Tamandua tetradactyla: one gene and its partners. The protein of the gene in region 1 binds, or shares a complex with, the protein of each later gene. Links are inferred from orthologs where the notes say so. Each region holds a gene or a part of one and is shown on either strand. Other genes may lie near its edges. The genes, in order: EPC1, MBTD1 and ING3.

Region 1 (7,583 bases):
GATTTTTCTCAGGTTTACTATAGAAACAAAATAAAGTAATAATTACTAGGGATATTTCACGACAATTCTACAGATGCATTTTGTTCCTGAAATGCTTTATTAATGAAGCAGAGTACAAGAAATTGTCCTAATCCATATCGGCCCCATCTTTCATGACCAACATAGGATTATTTACTTTTTCTAAATTAGTCAATTCAGGCTCTAGGTCACTCAGACCCAAGAGACAGCATCCCTAATGTGTCAAAGGCAGACGTTTGTTTTAACCTTCTTCTTTGTAAGAAATAAAAGATGCTTCAACAAATTATCAAAAGTTCTTGTTTTTACAAGATTAACTCAGAATTCAGTTACCTTTATTTATGCTTAGCTTACACATCCAATATTGTAACCATGCTAGTTTCAATACCACTATTTATATGTTCTACCACCAGCATGAACCACAGGTTTGTAGAGCAGCTTGTTTGTTTACCTGGTACTTTTTACATCCCCGTTAAGTTCGGTATCTACTCTTAAGCTATGCTTCACTGATCATACACATAGCATTCGGTAGATGAGAACTGAAATTCTAAACAGATGATGTTAAAGGCAGTCTAAAGGAAAAAAAAATCCCTATGTCCCTCCACAGGGACTCCACATGCTGTAATGCTGCAATCTAATGAGATCCATTCACATTATCAAATGTCAAAATAATTTCAGTGAACAAAAATTATCTGTAAATTTAATAAGCATTGATGCCTCAGTTAAGCGTAGCTCTAACTTTAGGTGGTAGCTCTTGGGACTGTTCAAAGTATTCATAGAAGCAAAGACTTAAACTGTACTGTAGTGTTACCTTCCTTTAATCAAGGCTCTCCCCTTGGCTGTAAACAAGAATTACAAATTAATTTCCAAGGTAGTGTAACACCAAAACCCCAACTTGAAAAGTATTATCTGCAAAACTTATAAACAGAAACAAAAATAAAACCAAAAGACAAGATTCTGCAGTCACAAGTATTTTAATTTTTAAAAACAAATCACTTGTTTAAAAATAAACAAATGGTACCATTCTACTCTAAAGTTGATACAAGTAATAAATTAAGAGATGCTGTCTCATAGACAAGGTGCTAAAAGTCAGTACTACACTAGACAATCAACTACTACATGCACTTAGCTTATCTGTAAAATAAGATTTAACACACTACTCTTAAAAGTAACATTCGCTGTCACAACTATTGTACGTTGAAAGGTTAAACGACCCAAACAAGTTTAAACAGTTTTATTTTCAAAAACATTACAGAGTATGATTACTACATTCAAAATTCTTACAGTACCAAAGAGAAGCATTACAGTACAATTTTCCACAACAAAATTGTAGCATATCCACGCGATTCCTCGACTTCCTTGAACTGTCAATACACTGCACCCTGTTTTAATGGCTGTACCTGAAAACCAAGGTATGCAATTCCTTAGGATTAGACGTTATCAAGTTATACTGTCAAGGATCTGGGGGAAATGAGAGGAAGATTCTATTATCCTTGTGTCTGAACCCAACTTCCACAATAAGGTGAAGCCACAGCTATAACAAAATGTCTATTAGCTGTAAACAAACATTTACATTCTGAAACCCACCCGATTTAGATATTTCAATGTTAAGACTATGACTTCATTAAACTTTAGTTTAACTATGGATAAGAAAATGACCCTCTTCCTAAATTTAGATCTATCTAATTGGGTCTTTTCTCCCCCCACGTTGTGAGATCAGAAAGCATAAAAACTTAAATTTTACAGAAAAAAAAATACATTAAAGTTATAGGCTTTAAATAAGAGCCACGTATTCCAAACGTATCTGCAACATGTTCTCAAGGATCAAAGAAAAAATCAGAGATAGTAGTTGATCATCCTCCGACTAACTAACATTGGGAGGGAAGGGATGGATGCAAAAGTCCCAGAAAGAGAATACTGCGAATAATTCTAATCTATGAAAGTCGTCAGGGCAAACACGCAGTAAGCTCGACACTCCGTTGCAGGGAGGGGGAGAAATAAGCCTCAGAGACCAGGCCCCCTCCGAGACTCCGTGTGGGGCTGGTTCCAGCCGAGCAAGCTTTCCCGGCGCCGGGGAAGCCGAACCGCCCCATTGCATAGACCAGCGTTCCCCAGCGCCAGCAGCGACGCGGAGGCCGAGGTGACCCTGGAGCGCCACCCAGCGGCCCGCGGAAAGGCCTGCAGGCAGGTCGTCCTGCTCCGCGCCGGGCCCGCCGCACCCCGCCGCCCAGCCCGCTCCCCTCTCCGGATGCACAAGGCCCAGCCCAAGAACTAAAGACCACAAAATGGCTGCCGGCGGCTTCGTCACGTGACCCCTTTGTGCCTTTCGGGCCCCCGAACTCCGCGGGACCCGGGTACCAGTGGCCGGGGTCGACGGGTGGCCTCAGAGGAGGCCCTACCAGGCCGCGGCGGCCGGGGTCGAGGCTGGGGAGGGCGGGGTAAAGACCCGGCCGGCAACTGAGAGTCGGCGGGGAAGAGAAGATGGCGGCCATTTTGTGTGGGAATGCTGCTCCGTCGCCGCCGCAGGCAGCACAGGGAGCGGGGCCTGGCGGTGGGTCGGACAGGGGAGTTAACACGTACCGACTCCTCTTCCTTCTCCATTCCGGTGGGCATCTGCGGCACGGCCCGGTTTATCGAGGCGTATTCGTGCAGGTCTGGCAGATCCTCACAGCGGAAAACCGGCAGCGGCTTCGAGGCGTCTAGCGCCCGCGCCCGAAACGACAGTTTACTCATCTCAGGCGCAGCAGATACCTCTCCGCTCTGGGGAAACGGCCCCGGCCAGCGGGATCATGGAGAACCGGGGGTTCGGTCCCCACTCGCCTACCGCTGCCGGGGACTTGAGGGACGGAGCGCAGAGCCCGCTGTCCGGGCACTAACACCAGCCGGGAGGGTGGGAGTCTGTGCCGCTCCGCTCCTCTCTCGCTCGCTCTCTTCAATACGCCATGGCCAACATGGCGGACATTAAAACTCCACTGTGCGCTCTTCAGCCAACCCCAGCCATTCCCCACACTGCATCGCGCAGCGGCGCGGGCACGCGGGCGGGGGGGGGGGAGCGCGGGCTCGAGGCCGGCGCCGGCACGGAGCGCGCGTCCCGTCAACCCCCGGCTCCCGCGGGCCTCGCTCCCCGCGCCTCGCTGCTCAGGCCCCCGCCCGCCGCCGGTCGGGCGCGACCAGGGCCGGGCGGCCAGCTGGGCCAGGCGCTCAGGCGCCGGGAGCCGGCTTCTTGGGCTTCCTCTCCTCTTCGCGCACGCGCTCACTTTCTCACGCTCGCTCCCTCTGACCGCTCTCTTCTGAGAGGCGAAGGAAGGTGCAGGAAAACTATTTCCACTCGCCCTCGGGCTTCTCGAAAGGCAGTGCGGAGAGAGTCGCGGGGCGGCGGCCTTGGCCGGGCTCGCTCCCTGCGGCTCGGTCCGAGGGCTCGGGCACCTGCCATCCCGGCCGGCGCGAGGGGCGGGGGCGACGCCCAGGCTGCCAACGCCACCTGCGGCAGGACCAGGGACAGGCGTTCCCGAGGTGGTGCGCACCGGTGGCCAATTCGTGGGCGAACGCATAGCCTAGTTACCGCGGCAAAAATACAAACGAAATTAGGGGCAGAATGTGACTCGAGTGAACTTTTACCCGCATTTTTTTTTTTTTTTACGTCTAATGAACTTGGGTTCTGTCATTTGATAGGCGCCTCATCAATTCATAGGTCAGTTTCCCTCCCGCTGGTTTCCTACTCCAAAGTATTTTTTTAAGCCTACATTTTATCTTCCCATATTAACTCTTTTATTGTAATTGGAGCAAAGAAAGGAAACTGGATACTGTAACCTTACGAAGAAAAAAAATTAAAGCAAGATCTTCTTCAGAGTTTAACAGCCTATACTTTATACTCAGCTTGTGATTTTTGTACTGAAAAGAAAAGGCGACTTCAGCATAGCCATGGGTTCTTTATCATTTGTTCAATAAAAAAAATTATATATTTATAAAACTGAACCATATAGGCTGCCAGGCGCCTGCCAACAACACCCCATGAGCGCGCGCGCGCGCACGGGAAACGAATTATTAGAAGAGATTTAGATAGATGTAATACATTGCTGACATTTGGTTTATATTACACAGGAAAATGAATGTCCAGAGAACTCTCTCCAGAGTAGTATTTTAAAAATCGTTAAGATTATTTGGGTGGCTTTAATGAGGTGGCAACAAAATTTCACATCTTTTCAAAAGATAACGAAAGTATTTTGTAAGTCTGTCCCTCACAGGGAGAGGATAGGGCTACATAATAAAAATAACCAGTGTTCTTAAATATTGGGTTGGGTATGAACTATTATTAGCTTAGGGCACTTAAGCAAACTGTTATCTTCCAGGTTGGTTTAACTATACTCAATGGGGTGGGGAAAAGACAAGGAGAGGCATAGATTGTAGTTCTCCAAAATTATGCTAAAACTCTGTGAGGCAGAGGGACTTTCACCCACATTTTCTATACCAAGACTGCATTTATTCATCCAAAGAGCAAACCTTGAGCCCTTGCTCTCTTCCAGTTGTGCTGCTGATTGCTCAGCACCCAGAGGGCTCCAGGAGGAAGGACCTGTGAATCACAACTGCCACACTTAGCGGTAAGTTGCTATGATGAAATCCAGGCTAGTGAGAACAAGCAGGAATGGCACCCAACCCATGGATAGTGGCTATAATGAAAGCAGTCAGGGAAGGCTTCTTGGAGATGATGCAAAAAACAACAAAACACACAACCAACGAACCAAACAAACAAACAAAAAACTAGAAGGAAGCACTTGCAAAGGCTTATGCCTGAGACACTCAGCATGTCACATTCTGGGAACTTCAAAGAACTGCCAATTCCACTGTGGAGCATGACTCCTATTTAGCCAGATTTAACAGTTCTGAAAATACTGGCTGAAATGAGTATAACAGTTCTTTCCATCTAGCCTAGAATATGAGATTCCCCGAATCCCAGTAGTTAAATTTGTGACTGAGGAACCTAAGACTTTATAGAACAAAATAGGGTCTTAAGTTATGAGTGAACCAAGGAAACACATCTTACCTTCATTAAAAATAACAGCTTATGCATAACATTTTCCTCATACTACATTAGTAACAAAATCATTGTACAGGTAAGTTTTCTAAGAAACTCTAGCGTTGCTCTCCATGACAGGTTTTTGGAGATGCTTACACATTTTTCAGCTTGCTTTTTTTGCAACTAATATGCTAGAGACATCTTTTTTTCTGCATTGATTCTCCATCCAGGTCCTCAATGTCCTGAATTTCTACCTCCCAGTTCCTACTGGGTTCTTAACGACCCAGAAGCTGAAGTCCCAAGCCTCTCATATATTTGGTTCACTTCCCTCCCTCTTTAGAGTCAGGTGTGCAGAAGGGAAAATACAGATTTAATTTTCCTCAGCTTCCTTTAACCCACCAAAAGATTCTTTGCAAAATACCTACTCCTGCAATTTCTTTTACTTTAACTTTCTCTTCTACTCTCAACTTCTTTTTCTAAACATCAACAAAAGTGATATGAAATTCTCAACATTGCAAGAAAAATTCTCAACATGATGCAAGAAACGTATACTAGTATAAAGCTGAATAACATTTCCTCAATGGGAAACTCTTTGTTGGAAAGGTGTTTGCAGTTAGTTAAAACACCCTTCATTCATGCCACAAATACTTATTGGATAACTAGGCAATACACGGTACCTCACTGTAAGGGATACAAATAAGATACTGGCCAAGGGATAACCAGTTAACCAAATGACCAGTACTAGGTGGTATAGTGAAATGTAGTGAGTGCTATGGGAGTTTAGAAAAGGGTAGAAGGGCATTCACAGGAGGAAGCAATTAAATGAACAAAAGTTGGGGTTGGGAAGGGCAACTGTTAGGTGTGTTTGAGGATGAGGGGGTTTATTTTGGCCAGCATTCAGTAGAGAACTCCTACAACAATCAAAGTATTATGCAAAACTGGTAAGAACGTGAGTGGAGGGAGTAGGAGTAGAAAGTAAAGAGGCCTAAGTTTTAGTGGTAAGAATTACAATATCATCACCCTGAAAGGTGATTTGTTTTGAATGCAGAATTACTGCTTTTAAAAAAATCAAACACTTCAAAGAGAGAACGTTTCAAATACAACTGCTCTGACACTGCATTTTGCATTCTATAATAAACCTGAAATAAGGCTCTGAATATTAGCTTACATCCAGTATATCCCCTAGTCCATACTTTCTTCTTTGAAAATAGAAGATTTGCCTCTATTCCCATTTCCACTGTCTCAGACATGGTTCAAGCTTTCATCACATCACATGTAGAAACAATCTTCAATCCAATCCACCTTTTATTCATTCATTCCCTCAATCAGCCTTTATTCCCTATATTGTCAAAATTGCTGGTAATCTCCCAATAGTGACTAGTGGTAGTGGCTGGTAGAGGCGTGGGCCCCTGGGGAGTTAGTCATGAAACTCTGCCCTCCAGGGTTTCATGGTGCAGTGTCTGCCACCAAACCACAACTACTCTTTATTTTGTTCGTTAAATAAAGTAATTCTTTGGTAGGTTGTTAAGACCTCCCATAATTTTGCCTTCTCTATCCAACATCAGACCTCTAAGACAAATTCTTCATCCTGGCTTCTGACACTGTCTTTAGAACTCATCACATGTTTCTGCCTCTGATTTTTCACTCTTTTCTCTCTGTCTTCCTTCTCCCCCTTCAGACTAACCATCTACTAGCCACCGAAGTCCTACTTCACAGAATGTCTCAGGGTTGAATAAAATCCATGTAAATCATTCAAATTGTCACTTGGCCACTGCGAACCCTTGACAGATGTCACTATTTTTAATTATTCTTCAAAATCCAACTCAAATATCATCTCCTCCATGAAGCTTTCTTTAGCTATTCAACATCTCTGGGCCCTAACTTCCTAGTTTCAAGAATAAGGAAACTTAGGTGAACTAAAAATAATTCTTCTTAAGCCTATGCCCATCTTTCTCATCTCCGAACTCCTATTATACTTTGGATCATTAAGAATAATAACTACCATTGATTGAGCCTTTGCTATACACCAGCAGTATGGAAGTGCTTTCAATGTATTCTCTCATTTAATTTTCATGAGAGCTCTATGAGGTGTGTCCTGTAGAGAGATATTCACCTTAGAGAGGTGATATGACCTGCCTGTGGTTGCAAAGCCAATGAGAGGTGATACTGAGATTTGAATCTCTGGCTGTCTGATTCCAGAATGGGGCCAAAGATACTAGGTTAAAATTAATTAAGTGAATGCAAAGTGAGAAAAGAGAGATGTTCAAGGTAGACTACTCTTTCATGCAGCTTGGCAATGAAGGGAAGGAGAGACACAAAGCTATTCAGGCCAAGGGTTTTATTGCTTTTGAAGATGAAAGAGATGTGTGCATATTTGTATACTAAAAGGAAAGACATAGGAAAGGAATAACTTTAGTCATATCTTCTGAGGCAAGAAGAAAGGAGGGCAATAGTGGATGATATCAAAGAAGTTACAGTTCTCTTTGATGGGACAATAAGATAAAAAATCATAATACCAGTTTTAGTAATAGAAGTCTAGACTCTTCATTCCTTC
Region 2 (7,521 bases), on another chromosome or scaffold:
GCCATGTTATTATCAAACTTCAAAAGACAAAAATAAAGAGAGAATTCTGAAAGCTGTGAAAGAGAAACAAGTCACATCCAAGGGAGCCTCAATAAGATTAAATGCAGATTTTTCATCAGAAACCATGGCAGCAAGGCGGCAATGGGATGACATATTTAAAGAACTGAGAGCAAAAAATTGCCAACCAAGAATTTTATATCTAATAAAACTATCTTTCAAAAATGAGGGCAAGATTAAGACATTACCAGATAAACAAAAGCTGAGGGAATGTGGCACTACTAGATCAACCCTAAAAAAAGATGCTAGAGAGGTCTGTTGGTTTAAAGGAAAGGATGGCAGACAACAGATTAAAACCACATGAAGGGGCGGGCCACAGTGGCTCAGCAGGCAGAGTTCTCGCCTGCCACACACACACACACACACACACACACAAACACAAAAACACATGAAGAAATAAAGACCTCCAGTAAGAGTAATGACATGGGCAAATATAAACGCCAGTATTATTGTATTTTTAGTTTGTAATTCTGCTTCTTACTTCTTATAGGATCTAAAAGGTAAATACATAAAATGCAACAATGAATCAGAGGTTTTGGACTTAGAATGCAATTTGTGACAAGAATTACATAAAGGTCAAAAGCTAGAGGGGCATATTTGTGTATACTAATGAAGTCAAGTTGTATCAAGGCAAACAAGATTATTATAGATTTAGGATATTAAATTTAAATCCTACAGTAAATATAAAGAAAATTCTGGAGAATATGTGAACTAATAGAGACAGAAATTAGAGTACAGGCTATCAAGGACATGAGCCAGGGGGAATGGGGAATTATTGCATAATGAATATAGGGTATCTGTTTGGGGAGATGGGAAAATTTTAGTAATGGAAGGTGGTGAGAATAACAGTATTTTTTAATGTGATTAATTCCATTAATTAGTGATATAGGAGTGGGTGAGAAGGGAATATTTATGTTGCAGATATGTTTCCACAATTAAAAAAAAAAACCAAAACAGAAATTTCAGAATGTGGAACATTCTACAAGAAAACTGGCCTGAATATTTTAAAAAATCAATGTCAGAGGCAAAAATTAAGGCTGGCTTAGGTTAAAAGAGATTTTAGAAACATAAAATATAACACAGGAACCTTATGACAACTGGAGATATGTGTAAGATTTGATAATGATATCTTGGATAAGAAGGGAAATGCCCTTGACCTTTGGCAATGCATACTGAAGAACTTAAGAATGAAGTATTCTGTTTTCTGCACCTTATTTTCACTTCAAATAAATCAGGAAATCATATACACACACATTCATACACACACCCCTCACATACATAAAGCAAATGTGTGCAAAAATGCTAAAATATCATCCAATCCAGGTAGAAAGTATTAAAGGTGTTCAATTTTGAAATTTTTCATATTATAAAGTTGTGGGAAAGAGATGGTTTACTACATACAAATAATTAAACAAGTACACAGTATCATCACTGGTTATATTTGAGTGGTGAGATCACAAAAAACTTCTTCCAAATTTCCTTCACGCTTGTTGTATCCTCGCTCTCCCAATTTTAAATTTAATCATTTCTTCCAATAACAATACTTTTAACTGTTTCAAAACAGAAACTGACTACTCAAAAACCTACAGAAAACAAAGATTTGCAACTCCAAATAAACTACTGGTTATAAAATTATATCTTGGTGAATCACATGAAAAAAGACACTTACTCTTCTTTAAGTCTCTTTTGTAACTGTTCTTTTGAAAGTCTACTTTCACTGGCATTTTTCATCATATCTTTCCGAAAACGATTGTTCATCATGTCAACCCTATAAAAAACAAGAACAGCATGCTTTAAATGTTTAAAGATTCAACACAAATAGTTGTTGCCTTTACCACTTAGATAAAACTAATTTCACAATATATATCAAGATGTATAAGATGCAGAACATATCATATGCATATTCTCCATTCTTCTTCAAACAAAAAAGAATCTCCAGTATTTCAGATCATGAGAGAGTTTATTCATGAGAGAGCTAATATCTCAAATTCAAAATCAATTATCCTGGCACAGTTTATACCATCAACCAAATTAAATTCCAGGTAATCAAGTTATATGTACAAAAAACAAATCTTAAACTGTTAAAATCTGTTTTAACAGTAAATTAGTAAAAATAGTATTAAAAAAAGATTCACAGATCAATATAAAAATTTAAATATGGAGTTTCAAAAGACATTACAAAACAAAATTAAAAGGCCAACAGGAAATTAGGAAAAAAATTTGCAATAAATTCGACACAAAAGTTTTAAAATTCACAATATGTAGGGTTCTTTTACATTAAAATAATTAAGAAAGTCTCCAATAAATAAATAAGAGATACTAAAGAACTCTTATAAAAGAAAATACCAACGACTAATAGCAAAGATGGTTTTTCAACACAAACTAGAGATTATTTCCCACCCATCAAACTGACAAAATCTGAAAAACGATAACATTATCTATGCAACAGGAGTGATGAAATGGATACCTTTTGATGGGAAAATAACTGATAGAACCTTATCATATGTAGTCTGGCCATATTTATCCAAAGCTCTAAAAGTGCTCATGCTTTCTGATCAAGGGATTCCACCTCAGAGAATCTTTTTTAAGGAAATAATCAGGAAAGTAGACAGAAATTCATGCACAAAGATGCATTAATTTATTAAAGGGAAAAATAAAAACAATCGGTCCAATAATAGCTATGTAAATTAGGATTAATTCGTACTATTGGTTATAATACAGCCCTTAAAAATGTTTATAAGGTTTTTTTTAAAAAAAAGAAAAGAAAAATAGGGAGCAAATACTTGAAATAGAGTGATAATTAGAAAAAGACAACATGCTAAACTAAATATACGGTACATTTTCATCAACAAAAGCACATATCACATGTGCTAGCTAACCTTTTAGCCTACACAGTTCCAGGCACTGTGCCAAGAGTTCTATTTGCACCATTTCATTTAATCCCTACACCCTTCTGATAGTTATTATCATCATCATTTTACAAATGAGAAAAGGTAGGTTCCAAACTTGCTGAAGGACAGTTAAGAAATGGTCAAATTCTGAAGGAGTTTAAAGTTTAAAGTAAGGGTCATGAAACAAGAAGTCTAATAATTTGAGTATGGTAGTCCAAATCACAGAAAAAAGAAACACTTCTACTCTTTGGGAGAAAGGGATAATTTTATAGCAGCTAAAGGAACCCAAGAAAGTTCAGAAGAATAAACAGAACACAAACTTCCTCATCAGCATAGAACATGCAAAAGTGATATCCTCCAATTCCACATAACTAAAGAAACTGTGTATGATCTGGAGATGAAAATATAACTTTAAAAAAACTTTCTGGGATTCCTCAGTTTGGCTTGGCAAGGCAAAGAGGTCCTAGCAGAAATAGAGTTGAGGAGCCCAGCAAAGTTCTACTGAGGAATTTCAGCCAGTGGAGTTAATAGTGAAAGTACAACTTGCAATGTGATTTCGAACATCTCTTAGGGCATGAGAAGGCAGCAGTTTGAACAAGCAAGTCAGGTAAGTGCATGATTCTATTTCACAAGGCAGAGTTTCCATAGGCAGTAATTACTGCTACTCTCTTGTTCTAGAAAAACAATAGTAGGTCACTTCACAGTATATCAATTAAAGCCCCACTTGTTTCAAAGCAAGTCCAATTTTGCTGAAGTTGTAACTCAGAAATTAAAAATTAACAAATGATTATGATTACTGAATCATTCTATAGATGTTTTTTCTTTCTATATTGTAGACTAACCTAATGTCAATACCTGAAATTACTGAAACTCTTAGCCCAGTGTATACTTCCTATTACAGTGGTCATTCTACCCTAGCCTCAGCTCTGTTTACACATGTTATTTTAATGGTAACAACACCATCTCCCTTGTTTGAATCCATAAAAAACCCAAACTCCTTAAATTCAGGGAGACAGATTTTGAGCCTACAGGCCATGTGATCTGCTTCCCGCTTAGCAATAAACTCTCTCTTTGAAATTCCAAAAGAAAAAAAAAAGGCCAAATTAGGAAGAAACTTAGGTCTGAGTTCTTCAAACACACTGCTCTCATTGTTATTCTCTACAACGAAGGAAAAAAAGAGAGGGAGAGAAGTATGCCAAAATGTTAACAGTGGTTCTCAGCTTTTCTTTTCCATAATTTCCTACACTTTTCAAATTTTCAATCACATTTTCATAAGAATGTTTAAAACCTGCAAAAGAACTTTTCAAGTGTCAAGAAGAATTCTGGAGAAAAAGTTAAGCAACTCACATTTCCTCATCTTCATCTTCCTCATCCACCCAAACTGGCTTCTTTTGAGGTGGAAAAGTATCCTTTGAGTCATTCTCCACTTCTGAATCATCAGAGTCTTCATGCACATGAATCTAGAAAATACAAAATGTCCTCACAATGAGTTTTTCACACATCTTGTAGTCAGGTGGTTTGAAGAATGCAGTCCTCTGATGAAATAATGGGATGGAATGCCACCAGCATGCTACAGAGCAGAAAATGAAAAGACCAGTAAATGGCACTGCAGCCTGGACAGACAAGGAAAGATGGAACTTAGAGAAAATTAACATGCTAAAAGAAAAAGACCAAGTAAGACAACAACAAAAGGTAAGACAGACGAGGAAAGGCACAGGAAAAATTCCAGAACTACAGAAAATGACAAATCTAGAGTCAAAAATAACATAATTGTCATATTTCTTATCTCATACTCTTAGAACTATTCCTTCACTTCTCTTAACTCTTTTTGAGCTTTACTCAAGAAACCACTATGAAATCTAAACGAAGATCACAGAATATCTCTTGGAATAAGCTCAGCCTTCCTGAAACTGCATGGTAGAAATGCCCAAGGGATTTCTAGTTACTCTATTTACAGATATACGCAAAGCCCAACAAATCCCATCTCCTACAAGAAGTCTCGACAAGTCCACTTCAGGTATATTTATTCCTTTTCTTCACTGACTATCGAAGTGTCATACAGTCTGTTTTAAGATTAGACATCAGCAATTTCTCCCATAGCACCCAAAGGCTTTGGAAATCAGATCGAACTTGACCCTTGTTAGGTCCGCATTAATTTAGCAAATAAATTGCGTAATTCTCGGTGAAGCTTTTCGGGGCGACCCTTTCTAAACTCTCACTGGCCTCCTCCATACCACTAATCACCCTTCCCAGAAAGCTTTTTTTTTTTTTTTTAACAATCTCTCCAGCCCTTGTTACTAACATATTTGAGCTCTTCTTATTTTATTGTCCGTCTCTGCCTTTGGTTTATAAGCTCCAAGAAAATTTTATCAATGTCATTCATTATGTGAACAATGCCTGGAACTCCCAAACTTGGGAGGAAAGCCATATAATAAAAGGAATGTTTAAAAAGTGTAAAAACGTATAGGCAATTACGAAGGGTTTGCCATTGCCAGAAGAGTATCTGGCACTCAACAAGCTGGCAAATGTGTTGAATCAACGATTACACAATGGTTAGAAAAGCTGGTATACAAGAGACTGTTAAAATACATTTTCCCAGGCCCGCGCCCAGGAATTCTGATTCCACAAATAAAATGGAACTCCGCAACCTACATCAACAAACACGGTAGACGACTGAGGAAAGTGATCAAGCATCCACGCTGGAAAGGACAGCTAAGCTGAGCCGCGATAAGATGCTCAGAACTAACTACAAGTTGAGCACCTGCTGCATACCAGGCTCAGTGGCTCCCCTGGAGGCGGAGAGAGGTGCGGTCTCCGCCCTCCGAAGACTTCGTCGGGCTCCAAGAGGCGGGGGACGCACAGCGGCACCCCCTCGGCGCCCACGTTCTCAGGCTCCCTCCCACCTGAGCGCTCCTCGCCGCCTCAGGTCACCCAGACTCCGCCCCCGGAGTCTAGCAATTCGCGCGCCCCGCCCGAGCGCACCCAGCCCGCGCGCCGAGGCCTCCCTTACCCGCGGGCCCCGCAGGCGCCGCAGTAGCGCGTGCTCGTCGTCCTCGACATCGCCGAAAACCAACTCCTCCAAGCACCGCTCCACCGCGGGTTTGTCCTCCTCCAGCGCCAGACGGTTCTGCTGCCGGAGCCGCCTCTCCTCCTCCGCCGTGACTGCGATCGCAGCGGTCGCCGCGCTTAGCCGGGCAGCGGATTTCCGCTGGGATGAAAGGGCAGGTTTTCGAGCTGGGCCGGCCGGCCTCGCTCCGCTTCTTCGGTCCGGCTTCATTCGAGTCCTTGAAGCTGGCATCCCTCCGGTTCTGCGCTTGGGTTTCATTCGGTTCCCTCGCTGCGGCGGCATCTTTAGGTTTGAGAAGAAACGTAGGGGCTCACGTGGAACCTTACAGCGCATGTGCCCAGATGCCTCACTTTCCACCGCCACTAGAGAGGCGGGAGGGGCCGGAAGGAGCCTGTGCAGCCTCTTAGCACGTGACCCAACACTCGGTCCCTACTTAACGCCCACTCTTCTAGGGAGCCCCTCCCCACGTGGGAGTTCCTCCGGGAGAGCCAATCTTCTGGGTGAAGGGGGAAGCGGCGTGACAGGGATGGAAAATTTTTCCATGTCAGCTTCGCAGTTGCAACATAGTCAAAGGAGTACAAAAAGCCAAAGTATAAACCAAGGTGATGGAATGAAATTTCTACTCTTCTGCTTTTTAACCCGTCGACTTAATCCACGTCCTGATTACCTTCTCCACCCCTGCGTCTTGGTACGACCCATAGAGTACGGAGCCTGTAGAGGGTCCCACGCTGGAAGAGAGAGAGAGGAGGGTATGTAGGGAAGTGGGCCAATCGGGGCGCAGGTCACGGCGCAAGCGCGCTGGGGAGGGAGGGCTATGCTAATGTTGTTGATATCCTGGGGCCACCCTAGTTAAAGGGGGGAAATCCGGGGGCTGCCACAGCCGCCGCCAGTCTGGGCCCAGCCGTGGGCCCCTTGTAGTCGCCACCGTCCCGCGGAGAGGCGCCTACCCCCGGCTCGGGGAGGGGGCGCCGCGGGTCCGGGGAGCACGGACATCCCCTACCCATGAGGCCCTGATGGAAAACACAAAGGATCTGGTGAGAACTGAGCGCGGCAGCCGCTTTGTGTGCAAAGTGTGTGCAAGGTGGGGGGACGCCTACAGCTCCCCGACCTCAGGGACTCCTACAGCTCCCTGGCCCCACTCCCAGGCCTGTCTCTTTATCCCACGCCCCCTCTACCTCTGGAGTCCCCCTCCCCCTACCGGCCGTTAAACGATTCAGGGTCTCCCCTCCCCCCATTCCCCTAGCCCCGGCCTCCCTGGGGTTCTCCTTACCCCTCTTCCACGCTCTGGAAAAAACATTGAGAAGAAAGTTTTTCTCTGCGTCTTGAGCCCCCTGCCCCCGCTCTGGAAGAGGAGTGGGGTGGGTAGCTGGATCTGGGACTCTTCTCTTTTTTAGCTTCTCAGAGTGGGAGACTGGAAGTCCACTTGGCTTCCGAGGGGACATAGTGTTGGTGCTTGGCGGGGAAAGGCGCCTACCCGCTTTGGGGCCAGTGCCGCAAGGCATTTCG
Region 3 (8,040 bases), about 57 Mb from region 1:
AATGCTTTGATTACTTGATCAAAAAATTTTCCCTACTGGCAACGGCAACTTATTTATTCTTATTGTCATTTCAAAACCTTTTCCATTAGTCCAAGTAGTGTCAACAACACAAGTGGGGTCTATAGAGTTTTTGAATTGTACAGCTTTGGGGTCAAAAGATAATGCTAACAAATTGGTCATATATGCTCAAACACAATCACTTATTGAAAGTACTACTGGATAATCATGCTTTTTAATAAGAAAAAGTGATTTTAAAAATCTTAACCTCCTGTTATACGCCATAAGCATCTTATCATCTTTTATCAGAATTTAAAGTAGTAGACACAATCATTTATCCACTTACTGCACTATATGATTTATTCTACACCTGCTTTTCTCAAAATGTGCCCCAGTAATAATCTCATTCGACATTTGTTAAAAAAGGAAAAATAAATAAATAAAAGGGAGTCAGGCTCATGTAAGTTGAATATATCCTTTTTATTATATACTTTTTGGAGATTTTCAGTGCATAACAGCTTTTTAAACATCCTGAGGTCCTACAATTTTTTTTTTTAATTTCCCTTTGTTTAAATAAGCATTTTCTAAATTTATTCAACTCAAGTGCCTCTTTTGTTAATTCATAACAACTGTAACTTCAGAAAACTCTATTGTAAAAAATACAAGTTTAAAAGAACTATAATTTGAATAATACTAAGTCCAAATTATAAGAGAATTTTAAATTTGTAAGAACCAAAAATTATAAAATGATGGCTACCCTTTTGTCTATCTCTTATCAGATACTATACTTTGCAATTTATTTTAAATATTTTTAATCTTCAGGTCACTCCTATTTTACAGATGATGAAAAACCCTCAGAAATGGTAATAATGGTCAAGGTCAGTGAGGAAGTTTATGAAGCCTTGAAATTAACTCAGAACTGTATGAAGTCAAAATGTGTGCTGAATCCTAAAGAAAACAATAACAAATCCTTGGTACTTCAACTATATTAAAGATGAAATGAATTTTGTGAGTAAACTGGAAAACTAACATGCAATTCACACTTTCACAGTACAATCCACTGAATAAAAAGAGAACGTGGCTTTCCTCCCCTGTTGGTTTTCTAAGATGTCCTTAATTAAACTAATGAGGCTGAGAAATTATATTCACAAACAGTGAAACAGTGGGTATGGAAGTGCGTATGTGTGGTGATAGGGCAGAAAAGTGGGGTGTGTGTGTGGGGGGGCGGGTAATGAATCTTCTTAGCTACCCAAGACCCCACACTCTTGGATGGCTGGTGCTCTGATTTCTTTACATGATACTACTTTTGTCTCTACCTCAAAGTTCAAGTCTTTCTCCACCCCTACTTTTACAAGAAGAAAACATGGCAGCACCAGAAACATTTTTTGTACAACCTGAAGATCAACAAACATAACTTCTGGGCCCATTTTACATGATGACCAGCTATAAATATTATTTAAATGATTTAATTAAGGTACTCCTTAATTAAACACTTCTCCAAACAAAGGAAGTGACATATAGCCAACAAGGTTCTATTGATCACACATTTTAATTATGCATTATATAATTTTCACATTTTTAATTAATTAATGTTAACATAGTATCTCTAGGAGATAACTGAAACAGTTATCACATATTTATCTTCCAATTATGAAAGGTTTGTGAGGTTCTTTCAGAGCATGATGGACATAAATGTGATACCCAGCACTATGTTCTTGTTTTGAAATATAATTCTGTGCTGAGTATTTATCTTCTTAGCTACCTTTTTCGAATCATGGACCCTTTCAAGAAACTTCCCATATAAATAAAATACAACTTAAAAATTGCAGTGTATTCCAGAACACCCTGAAGTCCCTTTTCAAACTCTCTAGTCCCTGAGTCTCCTAACTATAACCTCTGCTCTTGAAACAGTAAGGTAATTTTGGAAAAAAGTCACCCAACTCCCTAGCTATCACTGAAAATGTCTTTGGGTCACAAGCAAAAACCCGCCAACTACCAAAATGTTATTAAAGCAGACACGATGCTTTACAATAAATTCTTATTTCCTCAGTCAATATGAGGCTGTTGACAATAGAAAATGTATCTCATAATTCGTAATACTTCCAAATTTGGCATTTCCAGTTCACCAGGGTTTCTAAAGACCTACATACTACATGTCCTTTGTGCTTTCCACTCGATAATTTTAAATCGAATTAAGTCTAACAGAAATACAGATGTTGAAATCTAAGTTCCACAATAGAAAAGCTCAAGTTAAAATCTTCTAAATATGTATGCTGATGTAAATTCCATTAAAATATATATTTACAGTCTCAAAGAAATGAAGGTTTAGGAACTTTTTTTGCATAGTCCCAAATTCGAAAAAGGCATATACACCTTCCCTCATGCACCCTCTTGTAAAAGCTACGGAAAAGGTGCGTGGGATGGAACGGTAAGATTTCTCATTGTCCTTTATTTTTGATAACTCCTTATGCACTACCAGAGTGAGGCGTAGGACGGTCAAATATCAGGAGCCACTAGCGGCGACAGCAGGCATGTCCGGCACTGAACGCGTGTAACCAACAAGAGCAAACACCACGACTTACTCTGCACCTGCAGGTCCATCTCGCGCATCTCCGTGAAGCGGTCCCGCAGGTCCATTGGAAGCTGCTCAATCACTGTCAAAGAGAAGAGTCCGTCAGAGGGGCGGGGCCAACGAGGAAACACGCGCTTACGTCAGTGCGTGCGTGCGTGCGTCGGGGGGGGTCGAGGGAGCCGGCAGCCCACTGCGAGGCTGCCAGTTACCGTGAGAAAGAAACATCCCCCGCCTCCCCCTCCCTCCCGCCATCCCGCCTGCCCGTCCACTCGCGCTCTCACCCGCCCGCAGCTCCCACAGGCAGCCCCGCCAGCGCCGCGCACTCACTCTCCAGATAGTCCTCTAGGTACAACATCGCGGCCCTTAGAGCTGGGGAAACGAGTGGGTCCAAGGGTTTATTTGTGTCACTCGTTGTCGCCGGAGTTTTGTCCCTTTCAATATGGCGCCTCCGCTAGCAGCACCCGCTCGGCTCCAGGAAAAAAAAAAAAAAAAAAAACACACTTTGGCGCCTGACGGCGCTGGCCTCACTGCCGCCCGGAGCTGTCATTGGTTGGTTCAAGCAATGACGTTATCCGACCGGTACCCGCCCCCATGCCTTTGTGGGAAGTATAGTTTTTTTCCCTTCGGAGGAATAATTGACACGCGGGCAATTCTACAGGTGGAAACTACAAAAACCAGGCGCCATTGCGCACTGTGCGCAACAGAATCTGAAATGCGGTTCTTCTGTTTATTTGTTGATTTTTGCGCTGGGAATGACGGGAGTTGTATGCTCCTGCACAACATAACTAGGGATAACTTTTCACCTGTTCGTTACTGCTATGATTTCATGTCCCGGCGTTTATGAGTCATGAATTTCAAGTAGTGTTAAGGCCAATAGCGGAGGTTCTAATCCTAGAATAACCAGAAAAGTGCGAGCAATTTCGATTGTTTAAAACAGAACTCTGCTGGAATTAAATCGTAGTGTTAACTTCTAGAAATATAAATAGGACACCTGGGTGGCTTCTATGTCTATTCTATGAGAATATGGAATGGAATATGCATTTCCTGGCTAAAAGATACACAAGTACCCAGAAGCCTCTTATAATTAAATATTCTGTTTTGCGGGTTGTTTCGTCCTCGTTCTGACGTAATTGATCATCTGTACATTTACCTGCAGCCACACCTAACAGCATAAAAGCAGTCAGAAATAACTGCTGGAGCCTTACTATCTAATGGACTGTGGTAACAATCACTTTAGATTGTGATTATATTGGACATTTGTTGTCCTGGGCGTTGCCTTTTTCTACCCTTTGACTCCTTTCCCCAAATGTTCATAAGTGATAATATTCAGTTATTCATTGCTCATTTTCTTCCTCTTTTTAAAAATTCTAGCACTCAAATGTTAGGTATTATTGTTTTCTACCTATTTCTTTAACTCTGTCGGGAAATTATCTTTAGTTCATAATCTAATGTTCTATTTTATTTTTTTCAGATTGGAGTTAAAAGTCTCTCTGTGTGTGTGTACATTGTACTATTGTACTCAAAATTTATCACATCTTTTGATCAGGATACTTCTCTATGGTAGTGCTGAATCTTAAAGGAACTTTACCTAAATCCTAATAAGAATTATCTGTCATCTCTACTTGTATTAAAATTTGGTATCTTCAGTTTTCTTTTTTTTTTTTCTGACTGTTTTTAAGACCTTCTGTATGTCTTTAATATTTTTGCAGTTTGATAATGATTACCCTTGGTTCGGATTTTTTTCTTTTCTTCTTCTTTCCCTTTATTCCTCCCTCCCTCCCATCCATCCTTTCTTTCTATATTCCTTTCTTCCCTCTCTCCTTCCCATCTTTCTTCCCTCCCTCCCTTTCTTTCTTACATTTTTAGTTTTATTTGTTAATCATGCTTGAGATTTGAAGGGATTCCTGAATCTTAAGATTGTTGTCCTGCAACAAGTCTAGAAAGTTCTCAGCTGCTATCGCCTTAATGTTGTTTATCTCCCGTGTTCTCCATTATCTCCTAGAACTTCAATTATATATCTATAAGACTTTTTTAGTATCCTCCCTTTCTCCTAACCTTTCTTTCAAATACTCCATCTCAAAACTTTCACCTACTTTTCCATGTGAGAAATTCTATTTGATTCTCTTATCAATCTATTTTCTTCTTTCCTTATACAGATTAAAAATAATTAGTCTATGTTCTGTGTCTTTTAAATTCAGTGCTGAAAATATTATGGGTCTTCTTGTGTTATCGTTTCTTCTGGCTTTTGCTTATGGTAACTTTTTTTTTTTTATCAGTTCTTAATTTGAAGTCTAAACTCATGTTTCTTGGGTTGTAAAAATAATGATTCCTTGAGGGCAGAGTCAAAGATAGGTTTTCCTAGAAAATATTAGAATTTCTGTACATTTTTTTTTGAAGGCGCTATCAACCCTAGGGCCAGATAAAACTCAGTACTTGATGTATATTCTATTGCACAGATAGATTGAATGTGGATTTGACATGTTACAGATTCTCAGGGAATACTTCTCTTCCTTTACTGAGTCCCAGAGTCAGGATAGGCATGTTTCCTTAGTGACTGCTTCTAAGCATCAGATTTATTTCTCACTCACACTTACACTGGGAGTGTAGGCCTTTAGAGCCCCAGATTTTGTCTCCCATTAGAGTTCACCGTTTGTACAGGACTTTGGCTTTATCTCTTGACCACACATGCTGCACAGCTATCAAAGCAGGAGCCCTAGGTGTCCACAATTTGACAGATACTCTCTGAGCATAAGACTGCTTTGGCCCTCACTTTTCTCTCAGCATATTCTCATTTTCCTTTCTCTTTTTTCCCCCTTTAGATCCCCTCTGAGATTGCTTTCATTTCCTACCAGTTCATCAGTATGTTTGATTTTTTTTTTTAAACCTAACATTGTTAGTTGTTTTCAGCAGGAGGGTGGGGTTCGTTCAGAGTAGCTAAAATGGCATGCTCTCAGAAATAGAAGACTCATTTCCGTGAAAAACTAATTCTTCAGGGAGTTTTCCATATTGAAAATGAAATAATAAATTTCAGTTATTTGAAGTCAGTCTTCTGAATTTTCAATTCTAACTTCTCAATTCGGTCAGCATACCTGCACACACCAGAGAAACCAAAAATAGTAAAATTTACACTCTATATATTTTAGTTAATGAACTTAATTCTTGAAATAGGAACATTTGTCAGCAGCAGAAAATTGTGGTAGCTTCTTATATCATTAGATAATATAGTATATAATACTTGGAGTGGTTACCAACTTACAGCCTTTACTATGTTTCTAGGAAGTACCACATACACAGGAATGGTTACCAGTGACCATATTATATCTTATTAGTTTACCTGGGATAGGCTAAAGCTGAGCCTAGGAGATACACCCTTCTGGGGTTTGAAATTGGGGCTGAAGAGGCGCAGAGACATTGTGGCAGAAACGCACTAATTGCAGCGCCGTAGATACATGGTCCTTCTGCTGAGATCCCCAGAGCTGCTCTTGTGTTTTTTCCCTGAATTTTCACCCACTTCTTTAGAGTTTGGAGTTTGTTACTAGCAATGAAAAGAATGTTAACTACAGATCTGCATGTCATAGTAAAAAAAAAAATTATGGAATTTTAGTCATTAATCATTTAGCCTATTTTCATTATACATTATGAACTCCAGAACTGTGGGTTTTTAAAAATTATTTTTATGCTGTGACTCAGCAGCTGTCTTTTCTCCCCCAACTTTATGGTTGACCAATTTTTAAGCATATTTGAGAAACAGGCAGGATAGTTGCAGGGTTTGAATACAGGCAGTGTTAAACTGCACGAGTTCACTTCCCTATTCTAACACTGGTTGTTGATCTTGAAAAGGTTATTTTAACTCTCCATGCCATCGTTTCTCAACTGGGTAATGGAAATAGCAATGGTAGCTAAATCTTAGGAGTGTAAGTTTGAAACGATATAATCTATGCAAAGTACTTAGTTTAATGCAGGGTGCATATTATAATTCAACGAATGCCAGTTGCTATCATTATCTTTATTAATATTATGAGGTCCCCTCCTATGTTTACACATATTGCAGCAGCTCTTTTGTGCCTCAGCATATTTTGAGGCTGGACAACATTTAGAACTTCAGGCTTGTCAAACAAACCTCTTGCTATGATTCTGCTGCGGCCATACTAAATTCAAGGGAAAAGTGATGCAGAGAAGGTTTTAAGAGTAACAAATTACACTGATGATTATAGCTAATTAGAAAAAATTAGAACATGGAGAAAAGATTCAAGACTGGATGCAAAATATGACTGTCCTAGAGAAACAGAAACATGATTCTTCATATAGGATTCCCTCAGAGGGACCCAGACTTAATAACTTGAGGCTCTGCTACTTCCTGATTTTACAAAAAAAGCCACCATCTTGAAATCTTCCTAGTAAAGCTTTGAAATGAAATGTTTTCTTACCTTTGCACCAGACAGTGTGTCCTCCCTGACAGACATCTGTACTTTTGAAAGGAAGCAGAATAAAGTGTTGTTTTAGTAAAAGCCGTTGCCACTCACTAGATCAATTGTAAGCAACAAGGTTGGATAATAGCCTTCAGTAAGTGACTACAGATGTTTCCAAGACTTCTCCTTCCAATGGCCAACTAAAAAGACTTGGCAATGCAATTCCTCCCCTAAAGGAAGATTCTGTTTTCCTGACCTGATTTGTGGGTGTTTTTGATGGAGAACCTGGAAAATGAGGAGAAAGAGAAAGAAGATAAGTGACTAATGAAGGAGAGTTAGGAGTGTATTACTCTTCTGTCTGCTAAAACAAATACCATACAATGGATTGGCTTAAACAGAGGGAATTTATTGGCTCATGGATTTGAGGCTAGTTTTCTCCCCCAGACTGTGACATTCTATGGCTGGTTGCTGGCAATTCTTTTCTGTCACATGGTAGTATGCATGTCAACATCTTCTTTCTCTTTTGGGTTTCATTAACTTCCAGCTTCTGGCTGCACATTGTAGCTTCTCTCTTTCTGTTCCCAATTTCCTTTGCTTATAAGGACTTCAACTATATCGGGTTAAGGCCCACCCTGATCATTCAGTTTGGTCACACATGAACTAATAACATCTAAAGGTTCATATCCACAGGCTTGGAATCTGAACATACTTTTATAGGAGACATGTTTCAATTCCCAACAGGGAGATTTTGCAGATGTGATTGCATTGTGTGGGTTCAATGTGTGTAAGAGGAAAGATCTTGAAAAGGATAACTGATTCTTGAATCTAAGGTGTCACAAAAGCACCCCTCAAAACAAATAGGAATTTTCAATTAAATATAAGAAAAAAACCTTGAAACCAAGAAGTTAAAATCCTCAGTTCCAGGAATGAAGAATAAACTCAAAGTTGGAATAATGAACCAGAGCTGAAGTAGAGAGTTCTTGGCCTTAATTGTTTGTCTGAGGGTTCTAAATATGGTATAGGGAAAATATTGCAAGTCTCAGTACATACACGGTGCTAAAG

Evidence for each region.
Region 2: EPC1 (region 1) and MBTD1 share a complex: the UniProt entries of both Homo sapiens proteins name them as parts of the nuA4 histone acetyltransferase complex. The link is inferred for Tamandua tetradactyla from reciprocal best matches to the Homo sapiens genes EPC1 and MBTD1.
Region 3: EPC1 (region 1) and ING3 share a complex: the UniProt entries of both Homo sapiens proteins name them as parts of the nuA4 histone acetyltransferase complex. The link is inferred for Tamandua tetradactyla from reciprocal best matches to the Homo sapiens genes EPC1 and ING3.

What each region holds. Positions count from the first base shown.
Region 1 is NC_135327.1:218,877,408-218,884,990, reverse strand, and holds the start of EPC1 (enhancer of polycomb homolog 1), read right to left. Parts: upstream 3,049-7,583; 5' UTR 2,749-3,048; coding exon 2,596-2,748; intron 2,193-2,595; exon of another isoform or gene 1-2,192. UniProt on the Homo sapiens protein: Component of the NuA4 histone acetyltransferase (HAT) complex, a multiprotein complex involved in transcriptional activation of select genes principally by acetylation of nucleosomal histones H4 and H2A.
Region 2 is NC_135332.1:32,355,631-32,363,151, reverse strand, and holds the start of MBTD1 (MBT domain-containing protein 1), read left to right. Parts: upstream 1-4,506; 5' UTR 4,507-4,532; coding exon 4,533-4,640; intron 4,641-5,958; coding exon of another isoform or gene 5,959-6,348; exon of another isoform or gene 6,349-6,764; intron 6,765-6,790; exon of another isoform or gene 6,791-7,028; coding exon of another isoform or gene 7,029-7,049; intron 7,050-7,244; exon of another isoform or gene 7,245-7,497; intron 7,498-7,521. Other genes in the region: UTP18 (U3 small nucleolar RNA-associated protein 18 homolog), read right to left, coding at 1,727-1,825, 4,296-4,408, 5,959-6,348. UniProt on the Homo sapiens protein: Chromatin reader component of the NuA4 histone acetyltransferase complex, a multiprotein complex involved in transcriptional activation of select genes principally by acetylation of nucleosomal histones H4 and H2A.
Region 3 is NC_135327.1:161,383,897-161,391,936, reverse strand, and holds the start of ING3 (inhibitor of growth protein 3), read right to left. Parts: upstream 3,075-8,040; 5' UTR 2,925-3,074; coding exon 2,897-2,924; exon of another isoform or gene 2,851-2,896; intron 2,652-2,850; coding exon 2,580-2,651; intron 1-2,579. UniProt on the Homo sapiens protein: Component of the NuA4 histone acetyltransferase (HAT) complex which is involved in transcriptional activation of select genes principally by acetylation of nucleosomal histones H4 and H2A.